Linked DNA regions of Elephas maximus indicus. The protein of the gene in region 1 interacts with the protein of each later gene in a pairwise test. Links are inferred from orthologs where the notes say so. Each region holds a gene or a part of one and is shown on either strand. Other genes may lie near its edges.

Evidence for each region.
Region 2: the proteins of FBF1 (region 1) and ACCS interact in a two-hybrid assay, tested with the Homo sapiens proteins (2 studies listed by BioGRID and IntAct). The two-hybrid records come from large-scale screens. The link is inferred for Elephas maximus indicus from reciprocal best matches to the Homo sapiens genes FBF1 and ACCS.

The regions. Positions count from the first base shown.
Region 1 is NC_064837.1:66,177,125-66,186,083, forward strand, and holds the start of FBF1 (fas-binding factor 1), read right to left. Parts: upstream 3,599-8,959; 5' UTR 3,578-3,598; intron 3,569-3,577; exon of another isoform or gene 3,408-3,568; intron 3,228-3,407; exon of another isoform or gene 3,092-3,227; intron 2,821-3,091; exon of another isoform or gene 2,766-2,820; 5' UTR 2,690-2,765; intron 2,224-2,689; 5' UTR 2,151-2,223; coding exon 2,148-2,150; intron 1,566-2,147; coding exon 1,538-1,565; intron 1-1,537. Other genes in the region: ACOX1 (peroxisomal acyl-coenzyme A oxidase 1), read right to left, coding at 8,496-8,546. UniProt on the Homo sapiens protein: Keratin-binding protein required for epithelial cell polarization. Involved in apical junction complex (AJC) assembly via its interaction with PARD3. Required for ciliogenesis.
Region 2 is NC_064825.1:99,411,510-99,421,048, reverse strand, and holds the start of ACCS (1-aminocyclopropane-1-carboxylate synthase-like protein 1), read right to left. Parts: upstream 4,178-9,539; 5' UTR 3,914-4,177; intron 3,390-3,913; 5' UTR 3,342-3,389; intron 1,140-3,341; coding exon 858-1,139; intron 1-857. UniProt on the Homo sapiens protein: Does not catalyze the synthesis of 1-aminocyclopropane-1-carboxylate but is capable of catalyzing the deamination of L-vinylglycine.

The DNA.
Region 1 (8,959 bases):
CTTTGGGAAAAGTGTCCAAGACCTCTGGGCACATACAAGCTTCTGCCACACCAACAGCCTCCATGTATCCTTCCATCCGAGACCTCCCCAGCACTGGTCTGGACGCTCACCTCCTTGCCCACTTTCTGATGGGGGTAGAGCACGAGTACTGAGTTAGTACTTGTATCTAGCTTCAGGGTCTTTACCACTCTGAACTTCAAACACCTCCTTCTTTTTCTTCTTTTTTTTAATGAAGAATTATCTATACAAGTAACTAAGAAGCCTTGGTGGTGCAATAGTTAAGTGCTTGGCTTCTGAAGGAAAGGTTGACTGTTCAAACCCACGCAGTGGCTCCACAGTAGAAAGACCTGGTAATCTGCTTCCGTAAAGATTACAGCCAAGAAAACCTTATGGAGCAGTTCTGCTCCGTCATGCCAGGCAGAATAGAATCAACGGCACCTAACAACTACGTACATGGAACAAATTCAAAAGGCTGTATTAGGGGTGGTCAGGCCGCGGGTTTGAATATTTATATACTTTACATCCATTTCCACTAAAATACTGGAGCACAATTGACTGAGGAGGCGCAGTCTTCATCGTTTGCCCCCAGGAAACGGAGAAGGCACTCTATGGCACTGCCGGCACAGACTCTCAGGGGAGAGACGTGCAAACAGAAGGTGACCGCATGTTTAAAAGGCTTTAGTAGAACAGCTAGATTGTGCCTGAGGCTTTTCCCACTTTTCTGTGCTGTTAGCAACAGGCATGTTTATTGGGAGCTTTAAACTAGTGTTTAAAAGACAAACATGGTTTCAGCCACAGGACAGCGAACACATAAATGGACTGTGGGCTCCATATTATTCATCTTTAGAAATCCCACAGTCCAGTTTAAAAAAATAAACATTGGGAATTAATTGCAGGGAGATTTCTATATATTCTTTCTTATCAAGGAAACTACTTATGCGAAATATGTCATTCCATGAAAAGTAATTGGAATAAAGCTTCATATGACAGAGACGAAAAGGAGAATGCAGATATTTTTGATCGTATCCACCTCAGCACTGCTGTCTACTGGTTTATGGTTCAACCATCTACTTCTGGATACAGAACCCAACAAGAAGGATTTTCTCCAAAGTCCCATCCCTTAATTATTTCTGAATTACTCTGAGGGCCAATGAGCCAACATAAGGAGGGGTCCCCTAGAAAGACCAAGGCTGCCTATGGAATTATGGGAAAAACAACAAGACTCTCACCAAGAACATTTAGGTGTCGAATCAAAACCAAACCCACTGCCATCAAGTAGAACTGCCCCATAGGGCTTCTGAGGCTGTAAATCTTTACAGAAGCAGAATGCTACATCTTCCTCCCAGAAGTAGCTAGTGGGTTTGAACCATCAAACTGGTGGTTAGCAGCCAAGTGCTTTAATCGCTGCACCACTAGGGCTCCTTACATTTAAACGCAAACATGTTTAAATTCTTTTTGAAGCCATGGTGGTGGGGGTGGGGGAGGAATACACACACACATACTTGGCTTAAGGGTGATGTTCCATTTCTCTGCTTACCTTTTAATCCCTTCCTGGCTTTTGCTGCCTAAAATGGAAAAAGAAATCACATTAACAAAATCAAACAGTCAACAGTGTGTTGAAACAGAGGAAACCCAAGGCTGGGAATGCAGAATGAACTGTTTTGCCTTTTGTCATGTCACCAGAGAAAAAGGAGACCCAACGGCATTTAAGACAGAAGTCTGTTATGCTTGCCTAGAGTTTCTGAAAATGGACTCGTTCAGAACATGACAACAGTCCCCACTAGCCAGCAGGGGATGTCATCAGGTGGGCAGAAGTCTCTCCTTTTCCCTGACCTCCAGACGCCACACGAGTCCCCTTCCAGCCAGGATGTAACATACGTGATTGTTCATCTTTTCTTCCATTCCACAGACCTGACTCCTCGATCCTGACAGACGTTTAAAAACGCTTTCAGCTAGACATTCAGAGGCTCAGAAGAAACCTACTCGTTACTTAATGAGAAGTCTGATAGCCATGTTACTTTCCATTACTCTCCTCCAGGGACCACACCCTGGTCCTTGTCACCCACCTCCCAAATTACTGCATCTAGTCAAGATCTTGGGGGAGAAGAGGCCACGCTTCCATTCGTCTTACTCCGCATTCCACCTACCATCTCAAGGCTCTGGGTCTGCTTCACAGCACTGTCCAGCTCACTTGAATTCCATCTACATCAGGCTCCTCCTCACCTAGTGAAGAAAATTAAAGTGGTTGCTTAAAAATGCTGTGGCTGTAATAGTGCTCGAGTCCAAGGCCAGTCCAGGTTTTCCTCACTTTACCCATCCAAGAGATCAAAGCTTATTTACATAAATTACACATTTCTTATGGGGGGAGCAATTCAGATGAGAACCAGAGTGTTCTGGGTAACGTGATAGGTTTACTGAGGCCTACACTCAGATTACTCCATTAAAGTGCAGCGGTCCTCATCCCTTATTCTCGAAGAGGATGAGGGAAATGGCAGGTACGTATCATTTTGGAAAGGAGGTGGGTACGTGCCCATGGCCTACTGGCTTCCCAGGCAACACCCATGATTACTTTCTAGATAGCAATCCAGCACAAGGAGGAGCGGATGTGATCCCTGGCCATGGCTTCACACTACTTTCACTAACAATGGAATTTTTTCCCCCATTCACACTAACTGCAAGTCTCACTCACCTCATTAACAGAGAAGAGTCTTCCTCAGAATTATACCTCCTCACTTGCACTTGACCAAAACCAACCTCTGGCATGCCTTGGAAGGAAGGAGTCAGAGACGGTCATCACTATTTCTCAACTGTTTGTCTGCCCTGTTATGAGAATTCGAAGTTTATCTGGGGGGATGGACAAAGGCTACCCTGAGTGTTAGTGTCTGTAATAGCAATTTTCACGACCTACAATCCAAGCAGTTTGTCTCATAACATCAAGAAACTTCTGCCATCTCCCATCCAAAGGGAATCTGCCTCAGTTTCCCAAACCACAGAGATTTCCTAAGTGGTCTGCAAAGGCCAAAGGAGCGTTGGTGGCGCAGTGGTTAAAGCGCTTGGCTGCTAACTTAAAAGGTCAGCGGTTGGAACCCACCAGCGCTCCACGCTCCGCGGCAGAAAGATGTGGCAGTCTGCTTCCATAAAGGTTACAGCCTTGGAAACTCTATGGATTAGTTCTCTGTCCTACAGGGTCGCCATGCCTCGGAATCCACTCGACAGCAGTGGGTTTTCTGGGTTTTGCAAAAGCCAAAGAACCAGAGTGCCATCACGTCATCTCATCTACTCAGCCAGCCCCACGCCAGGCATTTTCAAATCCCGACCCCGCCCCTTGGCAAAGGCCCTGTCCGTTGAACCCCTTGGTTCCGGGACTCCGCGCCCAGCCATGCGCCACCCCTGCGCGCTCAGCCTACCTCGACCCAGAGCGCAGCCTCTATCCTCCCAGCCCCTGGAGCCCCCCGTTACGCGCCATTCTTTTCCGAGGCGCGGTCCTAGAGGACTGCCCCAGCCATAGCCGCAGGTCCACCTCCCCTGGAACCTGGCTCTGTCAGGCCTCCCGCCTCGGAGCCCGGTGAACACCAACCTCTGGCAGAAAGGCGAGTCGCGAGGCATCCTGGGAATTGTAGTCCGCGGGTCACTCATCTGCCGGAACCAAGGGAGCGGGAGCGCCAAGACAAACTACATTTCCCAGGGAGCCGCGCCGCGGCCGTTAGCCTGGGCCCAGCCTCTATTGGCGCCTCCGAGCGTTGCTAGGGGCTCCTTCGACGCCGCCTAGGGAAGAGCGACGCGGCCTGGGGGCCCCTTCGGCTTCTCTCTCCGCCCCTCCCTGGATGACTGTCAGGAACTGGGCTGGAAGACAGAACAGTTCAAGTTCTTCCGGCTCTCTTTCGAGGGCTAACTCCGATGGGTAGCGGGGCACGGCGGTGAGAAATAGGTTAAAATCGAAAGGTTCACCTGTGAAACCGTATTTATCCCACACCTAAAGCTTGATTTTTTTTTTTAAAGCTTGAGGGAGGCGGCTGTGACGTTCAATTTAACGAAATCCCCAATCTGCGAAACCAGAATGTAACCCAACACCCAACAAAGACACGTACACTTGTGTGCTAAATACAGATTTTATTAAGGGTTATTCAGTTTCACAAAAGGGGTTAGTCGTTGGCTTACCGCTGGCCAAGGAGTGCTAGCGGGTCATCGCTGTCGCCGGGATTCATACCCTCCGGCCGGGGCACCTCCTCGGAACTCCCAGCCCCGAAGGACATGTCCAGCCAGGGTTGGGTAAAAATACATCGTAAATGCAGGTTCTTCAGTAGGACCCATACTCAAACCACAACAGTGAAAGAAAAAATGTAGCAAAGCAATTACACGCTCCAAAGAACACAAGTAATTTCACGGAAACCATAGCAGTTGGAAGTGTTTACAAGTAGTTATCAGCAGTCTGAATATTGAAGATCACATATTACCGAAAATTTATGAAAACAGTATTGTAGCTTTTTATTTTGGTTCAGAATTCTTAAAATCGCTCTCCATTTAACTTCATCTTCCCAAGACAAAATGGCCCCTTTTTAGGGCAAAAACAAAACTAAAAAAACCCTTGGACTTCTAGGAACTTTCTGATCTGTGACAGCTCACATCCGATAATTCTAATGGTTCCTTAGAAGGCTGTTTACTTTCAGGGGCCACAGGAATAGGTACAGAAATTTTTAGTAGTTTTGGACAGCTAAAAGCACAACCCCAACAATATTTTAAAATGAAAATTAATTTCAAATAGTTATTTACAGTGTGGCTTGGTTTAACCATTCTACTCTGAGATTGTAGTAGTAAATGTTTAACTAGCTGAGATGGTCTCCCTGCGTTATTCCACAAAAATGATCAAAGCCTTTATCTGAGTCAGTAGACTCTAGGATGTTGGTCTCAGAACAAGCAAGTTCCTGACGCTGCTGCTCCCCAGCTGCAGCAGCAGCTCCTGCAGGAAGACACCCTGCAAGCCCACGTGTACCCTCCACATACAACAGGTGGTATAGACTATCTGCATCCAATTCACTTCCTTCCTAAGATGGATGGACAGCCTTCAGAAATGGGGGAGGGGTACTTTGAGGAAAGTAAGTTGTCTGAAGAATTATGGATTCCCCAGAATCATGAATTTAGAAACTAGTCGTATTTCTCCAGCCAAAGCCCCCAAGTGAGGAAAACTTAAGAGTTAAGATCTAACATATTAACTTTAGGAACTAACTATAAAGTGCCTTTAGGTATATGAAATCTGAAGTTACAGTGAGTTTTTAGAAAGCATTTGAACATAAAAATATTGCAATTAAGATGTTCTAAAGATAAGCTGGTACATATCAGTTACAATTTTTTTTTACTGTGCTTTAAGTGAAAGTTTGCAATTCAAGTCAGTTTCTCATAGAAAAGCTTATACACACATTGTTATGTGACCCTAGATGCTCTCCCTACAATGTGACAGCACATTGCTTCTCTCCCCTGTATTTTCTGAGTCCATTCAACCAGCTCCTGCCCCCCTTGGCCTTCTCACCTCGTCTCCAGACAAGAGCTGCCCACATAGTCTCCTGTGTCTACTTGAGCTAAGCAGCACACTCCTCACCAGTATCATCTTATGTTTCACAGGCCAGACTAATCTTTGAAGAGTTGGCTTTGAGAACGGTTTCAGTTTTGGGCTAACAGAGAGTCTGGCTGCCATGACCTCTGGGGTCCCTCCAGTCTCAGACCATTAAGTCTGGTCTTTTTTTAGTGGTACATTCCAAAGACAAGAACATTAAGGTCCCCAAAGGCTTTTGCAACAATGGTGCTTTGAGGTCACTCACGTCCCAACACTGAAACACACCTCAGTATGTACCTGGTAGAGCATAAGACCACGCTCCAAACACAGGATGATCAACCTTGAGCCATTACAGATAGAAAATCCAATTTTCAGCTTTTGTACGCTGCTAAGTACTCTTAAAAAAAAAAGGCTTATGTCAATATAATCTAAGAAAAGCTAATACAGAAAAATCTCATTAATTCTACTCAGCATTTACCATTTTGGAGAAAACTAGGTTGAAATTTGTTTGCACTTTTTGTGTGATGGTTCACCGAAGAGCTCGACCAAACCAGACTTACCCGCTGCTAAGGCTGGGGTGTTAGATCTTAACTCTTCCATTTTCCTCACTATGGGGCTCTGCCTGGAGAAAAACTGGATTGGCTGCTTCATTTCTCAGGACCCAAGGACTCCTAAACTCACCATGGCATCGCCCATTTACAGCAGCAACTACAGTGACGACGGCTGCTTTACAGCTACCTGTTCAGGCAAGCCCTCATTCCTTCTGGTTTTGGTCTTACTGCTACCTAAACCTAATAAGTCTGCATTTAAAAATTCTCCACAACGTAAACTTACATTTAATTACGTAGCACACTTCTTCTCTCTTAATAGGACAAATCAGTGAGATTTTACTGCATCTTTATTCGTTGATTACACTGAGGACAGTTCAAGACAAAACATTCCATTCTTAATGAAAACAGCGTTAAATGTCAGATTAGTTTTTAAGTAAAACCCAAGGTGTTGGTTGGACTGAAGGTGGCTGTCATGTCTACAGTTTCTTCAGACGTGCTAAGATCTTGGATGTATGCTGCTGGATGAGACAGTGTCGTTTCAAGCACCTTCAGATCCTGCCCACAGATATCCACCTGTGAACAAGGTATTTAACCACTAATTTTGAAATAATTCTACATTTAATAAGTCAATAGTAAACAATTTAAACTTACTTTCAGTTATTTCCCAGAATCTAAATTACTGTCAAGCAATGCCCAAATGAGATTAAGACAGAGTGCTTTCTACTTCAATCTTAACATGAAATTATCAATTAATTCTCCCGATGGAAAGATCAAGGCTTGTGTTAACACACAGTATTTCTGCTGTAACTGAAAGGTTTCATGTGACCAGATGCACTGGAATGGATTTTACATCAGGTCCCAGGATAATAGCGTGATGTGGCAGTCAAGAAATTACACTGCTACTGAATTACACTGTATTGTCAAGATTGATTCTAGAACAATCGGTTTTAAGAGGCAGATGTCAAAGATACAGTTTAACAGGTTAAGACAAATCAAATGACTTGTGTTGCTTTACACTGATTTTAAGGGGAAAAAATTCATTAAGAGGTACATGTTTAACCTTTATAGAATGATTGTGTCAATTACATTTCGACCAAAAGGACCTTTAGCAATTCAGATAAAGCTCCTAGAAACACACAGAAAACAAAGGCAGACATACAGTAAGAACCAGACTCTATGGCACCTCCATATACCCTTCAGCCGGAGTTTAAATGATTATATTTTCTAAACCAAAAACCAGAACATATGGTTTGGGAAGGATTGCTATGCTACTTCTGGGTGTAAGAGGTGCAATGCTTTTGTTTTTTTAATGCCCAATACTGTAGCCTTCAGGCATTTTAATAGCTTATGTCAAAATGACAGAATATTTGGAATCTGGATTGTCCCAGAAAACCCAAGTAATTAAGGTCACCAAAGTAACAGCAGTGCCTTAGGTGACAGCTCTTCCTACACTTATTCTATTAAAGAGGAACTGTGATTCCAGGACAACCGCCCCCAACCCCTCTTTAGTATCTCTTTCAAGAGGGAAAGCAGGAGGGAGGGAGAAATGAGGAGGTAGGGAAGGAGGGAAAGACAGCGAGATCTCAGTACCATTGAGTTCCCTCGGTTGCAAAAGTCACATGTAGGGATGACTTTGCTACCTCCTCCTTTTAAAGAAGATAGGGACAAAGGAAGTTGTGCTACTGAAGTGACAATTTAGGGATCCTTCGAACAGGAGGCCAATTCCTAATTACGAGAGACAATAGTCCTGCAGCAGACCTGTGCTGAAGAAGTTCTTGTGTTGGAAAAAATGCTATTATGCATAGTCAGATGGGAGCAATACACGGGCAAAGGAAGGCGAGCACGCAGAAAACTTGCCAAGCACAAACTCACAACATCAAGCTTCCTGATGAGTTAACTTTCCCCCAGTCCCATTTCCTCAGCCCTGCTTTCAGGCCAGGCCCCATGGTAGGTGTGGTGCGACAGTAGCAGGAAAGCCTGGAAGGTTCTATACCATTTGAAAAATACTTTTGCTTTAAAACATTTATATATCCCGTGATTAGTGATTAAAAACTGAAAATTAACTACTTAGTAGTTACATTCTACTAATTATCTACTGAGATCAGCAGCATTACAGAAGGAAGCCACACTGCATTTCTCAAAGCTTTGTCTGAATGCTTCATGGGTCTCTTCCAGTGGTAATTGCACTTAAAACACATCCATTTTTCATCGAATCTCTGAAATTTGTAAATGTCTTTTTTTTTTTTCGTTCATTCATTAAAAAAGGAAAGGGGTCAATTTATCATTTTCTCTATAGCTGTTTGAATTCCATGAAGATCCCACGCCAGATGTGTGTGTGTCAGGTATGAAGGACGCCTCCTGGAGCAGATCAAACTCATTATCACAGCATTCCAGACTTAGAGCTTGGACTGCAGCGGCTTCAGGTGCTTGTAGTAAGATTCATGGACCTGCAGAGAAGGGGAGGAGAAGAAACTACTGGTAACTAGAGTTTGCGATTTTTTCATCAAGAAATTATCTGGACCTTATTTGAATCCTGATTCAAAGCAATGGAACACACTGGCCATGAGGTGATGGTTGGTGAAGCCTGACAACGGTACCTGGGGTGCATTATAGGACTCTATTTTTGTGTGTTTGAAAATACTCCATTAGTTATTAAATGTATGAGAGAATTGAAAACCTGCTTAATGCAAGGATGACTCAGTTCCCTTCTGAACGTGCTGCTCAAATAAAGAGGCTACAAGCGCTTTTAAAGCTTTCCTAGATGAATCATTTTCTGGTGGTCTTCCCTGCCTTAACATTTCTAAATGAAGACTTTCAAAAGTTGAAAAAAAGTTTGATTTTTTAAAATCATTTTAGTTTT
Region 2 (9,539 bases), on another chromosome or scaffold:
TGTAAACATCTTACATACAATGGCAACATCCCCAGCCCATCGCATCATTCTCTGTCGTCTTTATCCTGCTTTATTTTTCTCTACAGCACTTGTTACCACATATTAAAAACTTTTTTCTGTTCCCTGTCTGTCTCTCCCACTAGAACACAAACCCCATGAGGACAGGAACTTTTTGTTCACCACTGTAACCCCGGCACCTAGAACAACACCCAGCCCCTGATAGATGCTCAACAAATAAAGATTGCTAAAGGATTATTTGTGATCTCTATCTGACCTCTACAGGTATTATTACTGTTACTAGTAATAACTTATAATAATCTGCACAGATAATGTGAATAATAACAGCGGCTACCATTTATTGAATATATTATATGCCAAGCACTGTGCTAATAACCTTACATATTTGATCTCATTTAATCTTAAGTATTCTAGGGAGTCCCTAGGTGGCACAGATGGTTAAGAGCAGGGCTACTAACTGAAAGGTTGGCTGTTGAAACCCACCCAGAGGCACCTTGGAAGGCAGTCCTGGTGCTCTGAGTCCAAAAGGTCACAGCCATGAAAATCCTATAGAGCACAATTCTGCCCTGAAACACGTGGGGCCCCCTTTATTATAAATGGGCCATTTTCTGACCCAGCCAATCAACTCTTTGAACTAAGTCAGAGGCCCTCTTGGATAATGCCAACCTGGCAAGAGCAAGCTGGGGGCTTTCCTATTGGCCAAGGTAGGGAGGTCAGGGACCAGAGGGCCATAATGGTAACCTGACAAGAATAAGCTGGGGGCTGTCCTATTGGCCAAGGTAAGGTACCCCACCCTATGCTCCTCTCCTGGGGCCCAGGGGAAGGGAGGCTTCACTCACACTGGGATTCTTGTCCTCATCATACTTATCCATGTGGTAGGTCCTGTAGCCCTCCTGGGCTGAGTCCCAGAACCACTTAATGATACTGCCTCGAGAGGACAGGTAGGAGCTGCCAGAGGAGAATATGGCACTGGCATCGCCCACTGCATAGAGCTTCTGGTCTGGTTTTCTGGAGCATTCTCTTTCTGGACCATTGTCACAGCTACTTCCCAGGTCCTGTGTGGAGGCTGGGCCTGGACAGGCAGTAGATGCCCTGGATTCCTTCTGAGGGAGGGTGGACATCTGCAAAAAAGACAAAGGCACTCAATGAACAGGCCTCCTCAAGGACTTTCTACAGCACCAAACATTAGCAAAGAGTTGGAAGCCTCATAGACTCCCCCTTCCGTAGCTGCCCCCCTTTTTACGTTTATGTACTTAACACCTGTGCCCCTTACTATTTGTACCATGTGTGCAGACAATCATTTCAACAAGTAAAATCAGCTAAGGACCTATTATGTGCCAGGGGCTGTGCTTGCTACTTTTATATGACTTTAACTTATGGCTGCTTTAGCTTCCTTAACTATTGTGAAAGTTTTTCATTCTGTAATCTAAGGGGTCACCAACGTTCATTTTCCATTCTTGCAGCCTCGATTTCTATAGGTCAGGTTAAAATGTTCTGAGTTACAGCAGATCTTGGCCTGGGAGTTCTGGGGGTCTTGTGGGGACTGGTGTACATAAAGGGCAGGATGAGATTATCTGGTGGGCTGGAGCAAATGGTGGATAAGGACTGAGGAGAAGGAGGGGGTGGTGGGTGTCTGCAAGTGCAGGCACCCCAGGGAGAGCTCCAGGGCCCCCCCCTTCACTCTGGATGGAGGGAGGGAGAGCGAAGGCCAGACAAAAGAGAGGGGGGGTCTCATTCTGAGCAGATGCGAGCTCCTTCTCTATTGTAAGCCTGTTTTCCTCAGCTGCTTGGAGGGGGCAGAGGGTGGAGATAACCCTACCTCATACGAGAGTTGTGAAGACACAAATATGTGAGTTACCCTGAGTGACTGAATAGCTGGGCTGAGGGATGTGGGGACCATGGTCTCGGGGACCATCTAGCTCAACTGGCATAACATAGTTTATAAGGAAAACGTTCTACATTCTACTTTGGTGAGTAGCATTTGGGGTCTTAAGAGACCATAAGCAGCCATCTAAGATACTCCACTGGTTTCACCCCCTCTGGAGCAAGGGAGAAAGAAGAAAACTAAAGATATAAGGGAAAGATTAGTCCAAAGAACTAATGGACCACAACTACCCCAGCCTCCACCAGACTGAGTCCAGTACAAGTAGATGGTGCCCGGCTACCACCACCGACTGCTCTGACAGGAATCACAATAGATCCCTCCAGACAGAGCTGGAGAAAAATACAGAACAAAATTCTAACTCACAAAAAAAGACCAGGCTTATTGGGCCGACAGAGACTGAAGAAACCCAGAGAATATGGCCCCCGGACAGCCTTCTAGCTCAGTAATGAAGTCACTCCTGAGGTTCACCCTTCAGCCGAAGATTAGACAGGCCCATAAAACAAAACGGGACTAAAGGGGCACACCAGCCCTGGGGCAAGGACTAGAAGACAGGAGGGGACAGGAAAGCTGGTAATAGGGAACCTAAGATGGAGAAGGGAGAATGTTGACATGTCGTGGGGTTGTTAACCACTGTCGTAAAACAATGTGTACTAACTGCATAATGAGAAGTTAGTTTGTTCTGTAAACCTTTATCTAAAGTACAATTTTATATATATATGAGTTAAAATAGATAAAGCACTTACTTAGAAGAAATCCTGGCTCATGGTGAAAGTTCAATAAAATATGAGTTATTGTATTATAATTCCTCGCCAATTTTTTCAGTCCTAATGCACAACCCCCCACACACCAAAAGATGGGTGGACAGCCAGGGCACAGAAACCCTGGGGGTCTCCGCAGTTAAATTCTGCTCCAAGAAGTCTTCTCTGGGGTCATCCTCAAGTTGGCTGGGCTTGCTTTCCTGAGCACTCACCTTGTCCTTCCCGACAGCCTAGGTCTGAGGAAGGGGCAGAGAGGCCTGCCTGCACCATTGAGCAGGCCAGGGCACGGGCAGGAGGGCACAGGCTGGGCTTGGGGGACGCGGGGCTCCCAGCTCTGCACCTTACCTGGAGAAGGCCGACTCCCGTGGCCAGCGGGAAAGGTGGCGGCTGGGATGTCCACGGCCAGACATCCGTGCACTACTAGGCCTCCAAAGTCCACAAGCGGGAGCAGATACGACGTATAAACCCGCACCCACCCACCCACCCATCCACAAAAGCACACCCTGCAGGGTGGAGGCTGCCTGGGGAGAGATGATTCCAGGCTTCCTGAAGGAGGAAGCTGAGTTGGTGTCAGCAGCTTGAGACAAAAAACGGTGGAGACTTCTGCAAAGAATCCTGGAGTCTGCACAAAGGGAGGCCCGGTTGGCTTCCTGCTCTGCAAAGTCGGGGGTCACACTTACTCTGAAGAGTTGGCAGCAGATTGGATGCAGGCCCTCCGGAGATGTGTGCTAATGAAGTAGAGAAAACATATTTTCTTTAGCGTTTTAGTATTGAAGTAGAGAGAATATATTTTCTAATGTTTCAATATAACTGTATAAGCTAGTCTTTGAAACGTAATTACTTGCTCTGGAATCTGTCTCAGGAGAGTTTATTTAAAGAAAAATTAGGTCATCTATTTTTAATTGCTGATTCAACTGTGTTCCTCTCCCAGGGAAGAAATAACACAAAACCGAGCAGGCCGAACAAAGTCTAGATCCATCCTGTTACAGAAACCAGGATGGCATGAAGAGGCTTGGCAGGACTTCAATTATTGACCACTTAATCATCGTGTCTACCTCAAAGAAAAACCAGCATTCCCGAAAACCTCTAAACTCTGACTCTTCCCCTATAAAAACTCTCCAATTAGTCCTCCAGGTTTAGAAAGAATTTGAGAGCAATTTAACCCTCTCTGTCTCTTGAATACTGGTGTTCAATAAAGCCCTCCTACTGCTTGGAAAAAAAAAAAAATTTTTTTTTTTTTAACACTGCTTACCTCTTCCTGCCTCAGTACTGGCTTGGCGGCAGGCGGCACGAATCCGCAATTTGCTGGTAACTGTGTCGGTTTCCTCACCTGGAAACGCTCTAAGCCCGGGCGAGGACAGCGACCGAGCTTCGCCCAGGGACACAGCGACTCTGGGATCCCTGAGGCCGTCAGCGCCCAGGCCAAGTCCCCTGACTGTAAGTGCGCGGCTCGCTCCTTCCCACCCAGGCACTTCCGTGTGGCCTGCGCGCTGTGGAACGCAGATGTGACCACAGCACTGGGGCCCGCGACTCCCCAGCCCCGCCCCCAGCCCACCCGCCCCCTGGGCCAGGAGGAGGAGCCGGAGAAGCGGAAGGGACCCAGAGGCCGAGACCTCCCGAAGGGGCGGGTCGCCTGCTCCCACCTCCGCGCTCCGTAGCCTGATCGCCCCCGGCCTTCCAGGCCGGGGGTCCCGGGATGCCTGGCACGTGGGTCTCCCCGTTTTCCGGAGTCGGTTGGAGCCAAGGAAGCTTTTCTGCAAACTGCCTGGGTGCGGCCCATGGAAAAGCTTTACCAGATTAAGGAGAGAGCACCCTTAAAGTATCGTTCCTCTATGAAAGCTTTTCATCAGGGTTTGTGATTTCCCCTCTTTTTATTCAAGAAAATAGTTTTTGAATGTCTGCCATGGACTCTACATATTCTAGGACCTCAGCAATGAAGTAGAAAACCCAGGTCCGGGGGCCCACGTGCAAAGCTAAGTATCTCTGAGGCGCCTTCAGCAGAAAAAGTCGTCTTTCCCTATGTCGGGAAATATTCAGGATCCCTCAATATGGGTATGGCTGAGAAGATGTGGTCTTTTGACCGTTCCACTTTTTGTCTTTGCTTTATCTTTGTTGGGAGCCCTGGTGCTGTAGTGGTTAAGAAGCTTGGCTACTAACGAAAAGGTCAGCAGTTTGCACCCACCAGTTGCTCTTTGGAAACTGTATGGGGCAGTTCTACTCTGCTATTTTTACTGCAAAAGTGGGTTCCAGCCACCTGCTGCAAAGCCAATACTGAGACAGGAAGAGGTAAGTAGTAAGAAGGCTTTATTGAATACCAGTATTCAAGAGATCAAACCCAGTGCCATCAAGTCGATTCTGACTCATAGACCCAGTGCTGTCAAGTTGATCCCGACTCATAGCGACCCTATACCCGAACCTGTCTTAGAAGAAGTACAGCCGGAATGCTCCTTAGAAGCAAGGATGGCGAGACTGTGTCTTACATACTTTGGACATGTTGTCAGGAGGGATCTCCCTGGAGAAGGACATCATGCTTGGCAGAATACAGGGTCAGCGGAAAAGAGGAAGACCCTCAACAAGGTGGACTGACACGGTGGCTGCAACAATGAGCTCAAGCATAACAACGATTGTAAGGATGGCTCAGGACCAGGCAGTGTTTTGTTCTGTTGTGCACAGGGTCACTATGAGTTGGAACTGACTCAATGGCACCTAACAACAACAACATGGAATTTATTAGACATTGAATTAAAAAAAAAAAAAATCTAAATAAGGATCCAGGGGACTCCCTTTATCCCACTCCAGGTGCCCCCTAGGCCTTCCCAACCTCAGTAAAAACATCCATTTTGCCCCCCACACAATGGTTAGCAAAGACTAAAAAGATGCAAAGCTTCCAAAAGTGACAGATGTTTGACTCCGTTCAAAGAGGTCAGTGACTGGGCCAGATGAGACCATTTCTGGAGCAGCCCACTGTTTGCTCAGTCACAGTAGCAGTTCCATGTCTCAGCCCTCTGGACCAGCCGAGCATGTGGCTGGATGGGAGGCAGACAGCCTACTCCTGTGCATATCCTCTGGGAGCCCTGCTACCAACTCCTTCTTCTGTTCTTGTAGCGCTTCACAGAACCAATGCATGGCTAGAGGGTCCAAATGGAGACAGAGAGAAATACTTAGTAGATTGGCAGATGGGCTCCAGACATACCCGGGTCTTGGCAGTGATTCTACCTCTGCTGAACTTTAGCCCTCCCTTCTTTGGGATGGATTTTAAGTCCACCTGCCTCATCCCCAATGGTACTGTCACAGCAGCCTGCCAGACACCTCAAGTCTCATACCAAATCCTGTGCCCTGGCTTGTAGCCTTGGCCTCACCAAGTGTTCAATGCCTCTAGTGTCTTTTCAAAAGGAGCCCTGGTGGTGCAGTGATTAAGCTTCCAGCTGCTAACTAAAGGGCTGGTAGTTCGAATCCACCAGCAGCTCTGTGGGAGAAAAGAGGTGGCAGTCTGCTCCCATAAAGATTTACAGCCTTGGAAACCCTATGGGGAGTTCTACTCTGTCCTATAGGGTCACTATGAGTTGGAATTGACTCGATGACAATGTTGTCTCTTCACTCAATCTGTTCTCCACACTAGCCAGTAAGATATTGCTACAGCACCAAAGTCCGCCTTGTCTCATTCATTGCTGCATCCCCAGCAGGTAGAATAGCGCCTAGCATGAAGTATGAGGTGATACATACTTATTAAAATGGATGTGATGGTCTCTGAAATCTTCAGAGGAGTGTCTGAACTCCATAGCATAATATACAAAAGGAACTTCTATCATCTCCTCATTCATTCTCCCTACTAGACTGCACATCTACAAGGGCATAGTACAATTTCTTAGTGGATAGTCTCAATGCCTTGCTCAATGTCAGGCACAGAACAGATACCTGAAGGTATAATGAATGAGCAGGTGTGTATCTCAAGCACCTATCAGTTCCTGTTTACAAAGCGATTTAATTAAAGAGATGAAGATGGAAACAGGTAGAATAGAAGGACAAGATATGGGCTGCTAAAAGAAAAAGAAGGAAGATTCGGTAGGGGCAGATTAACCAGTAAGCATGGTAAAAAAAAAAAAACCCAGTGCTGTCGAATCAACTCCGACTCATGGCAAACCTTAAGGACAGAGTAAAACTGCCCCATAGAGTTTCCAAGGAGTGCCTGGCAGATTTGAACTGCCCACCCTTTGGTTAGCAGCTGTAGCACTTAAACATGGTAGTACTGGCTTAATTGTGTTTACTTACAAATCTATCATGAAAAATTTCACATGGGTTTCACCACATCTTATCATTCTGGGATTGGGTTATGGAGAAGTTGGTGGGGCATCTTTGAAGGAGCCAGGATTGGAAGGTCAACATCACTCACCCAGTTTCATCCGGCGGGGCTTATCTGCAAAGACAAGGCGGAACCAGCCTGGCTCCTTACACAAGTAGGACTTGCCACAGGACAATACCACCTTGTTATCCAGGAAGCGGTGGTGGAGGACTAGCTCGTTCTCAAATATACATGGGTCCAGGTACTAGGGAGGGCAGAGGACAGACCTTAGCCCAAAGTCCATTTGCAATTCTGCCCCAGAATGCCAGTTCTCATTCAGAGACCTCACCTTTTTCAAGTTGATCCCGATATAGAGGCCAGAGCCGTGATTGAGAAAGGGGATCTTCAAGGCCTTCAGTTTGTCTGTGATATACTTGTGAGCCTCCTGGAGCCGGGAGTGATTAGTGGGCAGGTACATTTTATCAATCCAATCTGTATGAATGGAGGAAGAGAGCCATCACAGTTCTTGTGTCAGAGATCTACCAAAAGGTTCCTTACCAAATGCTCCCTACCTGGTCTTCATGCCAACTCTTCTATCCAAGACTATCATATTTGAATTGATGGCATCCCTTTTTTTTTTTTTTATCAACATACCTATGTGTTTTTGGTATCCATACCAACACATTCACCTCTCATCTATGGCTTAGGTACAGACATTGGGTTTCTCGATAGTTTTTAATAGAAATTCTCTGTTTGCATTTACACCCCTGAGGCAAGGAAGAGGTAGAATGGAGGAGTATCTCCTAAAAGGGGTTGATGCTTCTGGTATCAACTGGGGAAGTAGCAGGTCCCCATATCTCCTGCCTTTGAGCCTCACACTATGGCCTTTGAGGAACCTAGACAGGCTCAATTGTCCTTGGTGTTAGAACCATCTGGAGTTTGATGCCTAAACTGTACCCTCAAGATTATCTACATCTTTTGGATGGGGCTCATGCATCAGTATTTAAGCTCCCCAGGTAATTCCCATGTGCTGCCAAGGTTGAGAACCAATGTTCTAGGGGCTGGGAAGCTGATTTCTGCCAAATATCAAAGGGTCTGGTGCCATGTAGGAAAGCATCAAATTAAATTTCTCCTATCTACCTCCTTCCCCACTCAAACCTGAAAGTAAACCGTTTAAGCGATCTTATTTTATTACATTAGTTTGTTTCATTATACCCTAGCTTTTTATGTAAGCCCTCCAACCTGGTATCTGTTCTATTACAGAGAATTAAAGAAAAGGGGTCTTATCTACATTTGGACCACAGTATTCAAGGGGGAAGTTCCCTCTAAGGCCAGCATTCACTTGAGATCCAGGGAGGAATGTGAATCCAAGTGCCATGAATCTAGCCACATCAACTCCCCCAGATGGCAGCTCCCCTTGGAAGATGAGGTTAAGCCGTATTAGAGGGTACAGGGAGTTTCTTTGTAATCTCTTCCTTAGAGAAGAGACATCTACATAGACTGATATCTCAACTTCCCACCTTCAGATCTTACAGTGCAATTGACTATCCCCTTTCCAGGCAGACTTTGAGCTACAAGACATCCAGAAGTTCAAGCCTACGCTGTGTTTCAGACCAGCACTTGCATCTTCCCACTGCACTATCTGAGCCGCATCCTACCCTCCTTCATACTTCATGTCCTGTAAGGCTAAGCCCGAGACAGTGAACAGGATCTTGGTGTATTGAGGGGATAACAGAAGCAGACCCGGGAATTCCGTGCGGCCAAGGGGTCCAGCCAAGATGCTGGCCTGGGATGGAGCTCAGTACCTCTGTCCTGGAGCAGCCGACACAGCTTATGCTGGGTGGTGCCAGAGATGCCATGGAGGCAGCCAAAGGAGCTCACAGCAGCAGCTACTTCCTTGCTGTGGGTGTATAAAGTACCAAAGCGGAAGCCAGAGATGCCAAAATCCTAGATGAAGAGTAGTAGGGGAGTGAACACCTGGTTTGTCTACCTTTTATTCCTGGCTCTCTTTCCTCCCCCACCCAAGGATTGACAGCTAGGGCTCACCTTACTGGTACCCCAGATCACATGGGTCCTGTTGGGATCAGGCAAACTGGAGAAGAGATAGTACAATCAAGGTTATGGAGAAATAGTTGAAGGATAAAGACTTGACATATATGAAGGGAATGGAGAAAGAGGACTTGAGGTCACTCCCAGACAGGTAGGCCAACAGGGCCCAACACTGCCCTAGTTAAGCCAGAAAGTCAACACAAGGTGTCTCTGAGGAACTAGATGGAACAGCTCCCAAGTGACCACTGAATGAAGTCTAGGACCCTCAGCCTGGCTCATGGCCCTTCTACAGCTGGTCCCAAACCACCTTCTTGGCATTTGGCTAGTCATATATGGCCACGCACCATTCCTAGAATGTCCTCGCCTATTTCTTACAGACTCACCTTTAATGCAGCTATTCCTTCTAGCAGTCATGCACTTCCCTTGATTTTCTTGCTGGAATCCTATCCAAGGGCCAAATACTACCCTTAGGAAAGTTCTGTCCTGTGCTGTATTTACCAAGAACTTCCTACCCTGGCCTTCCATAGGGCTTTATCTTGACTTTTGACAG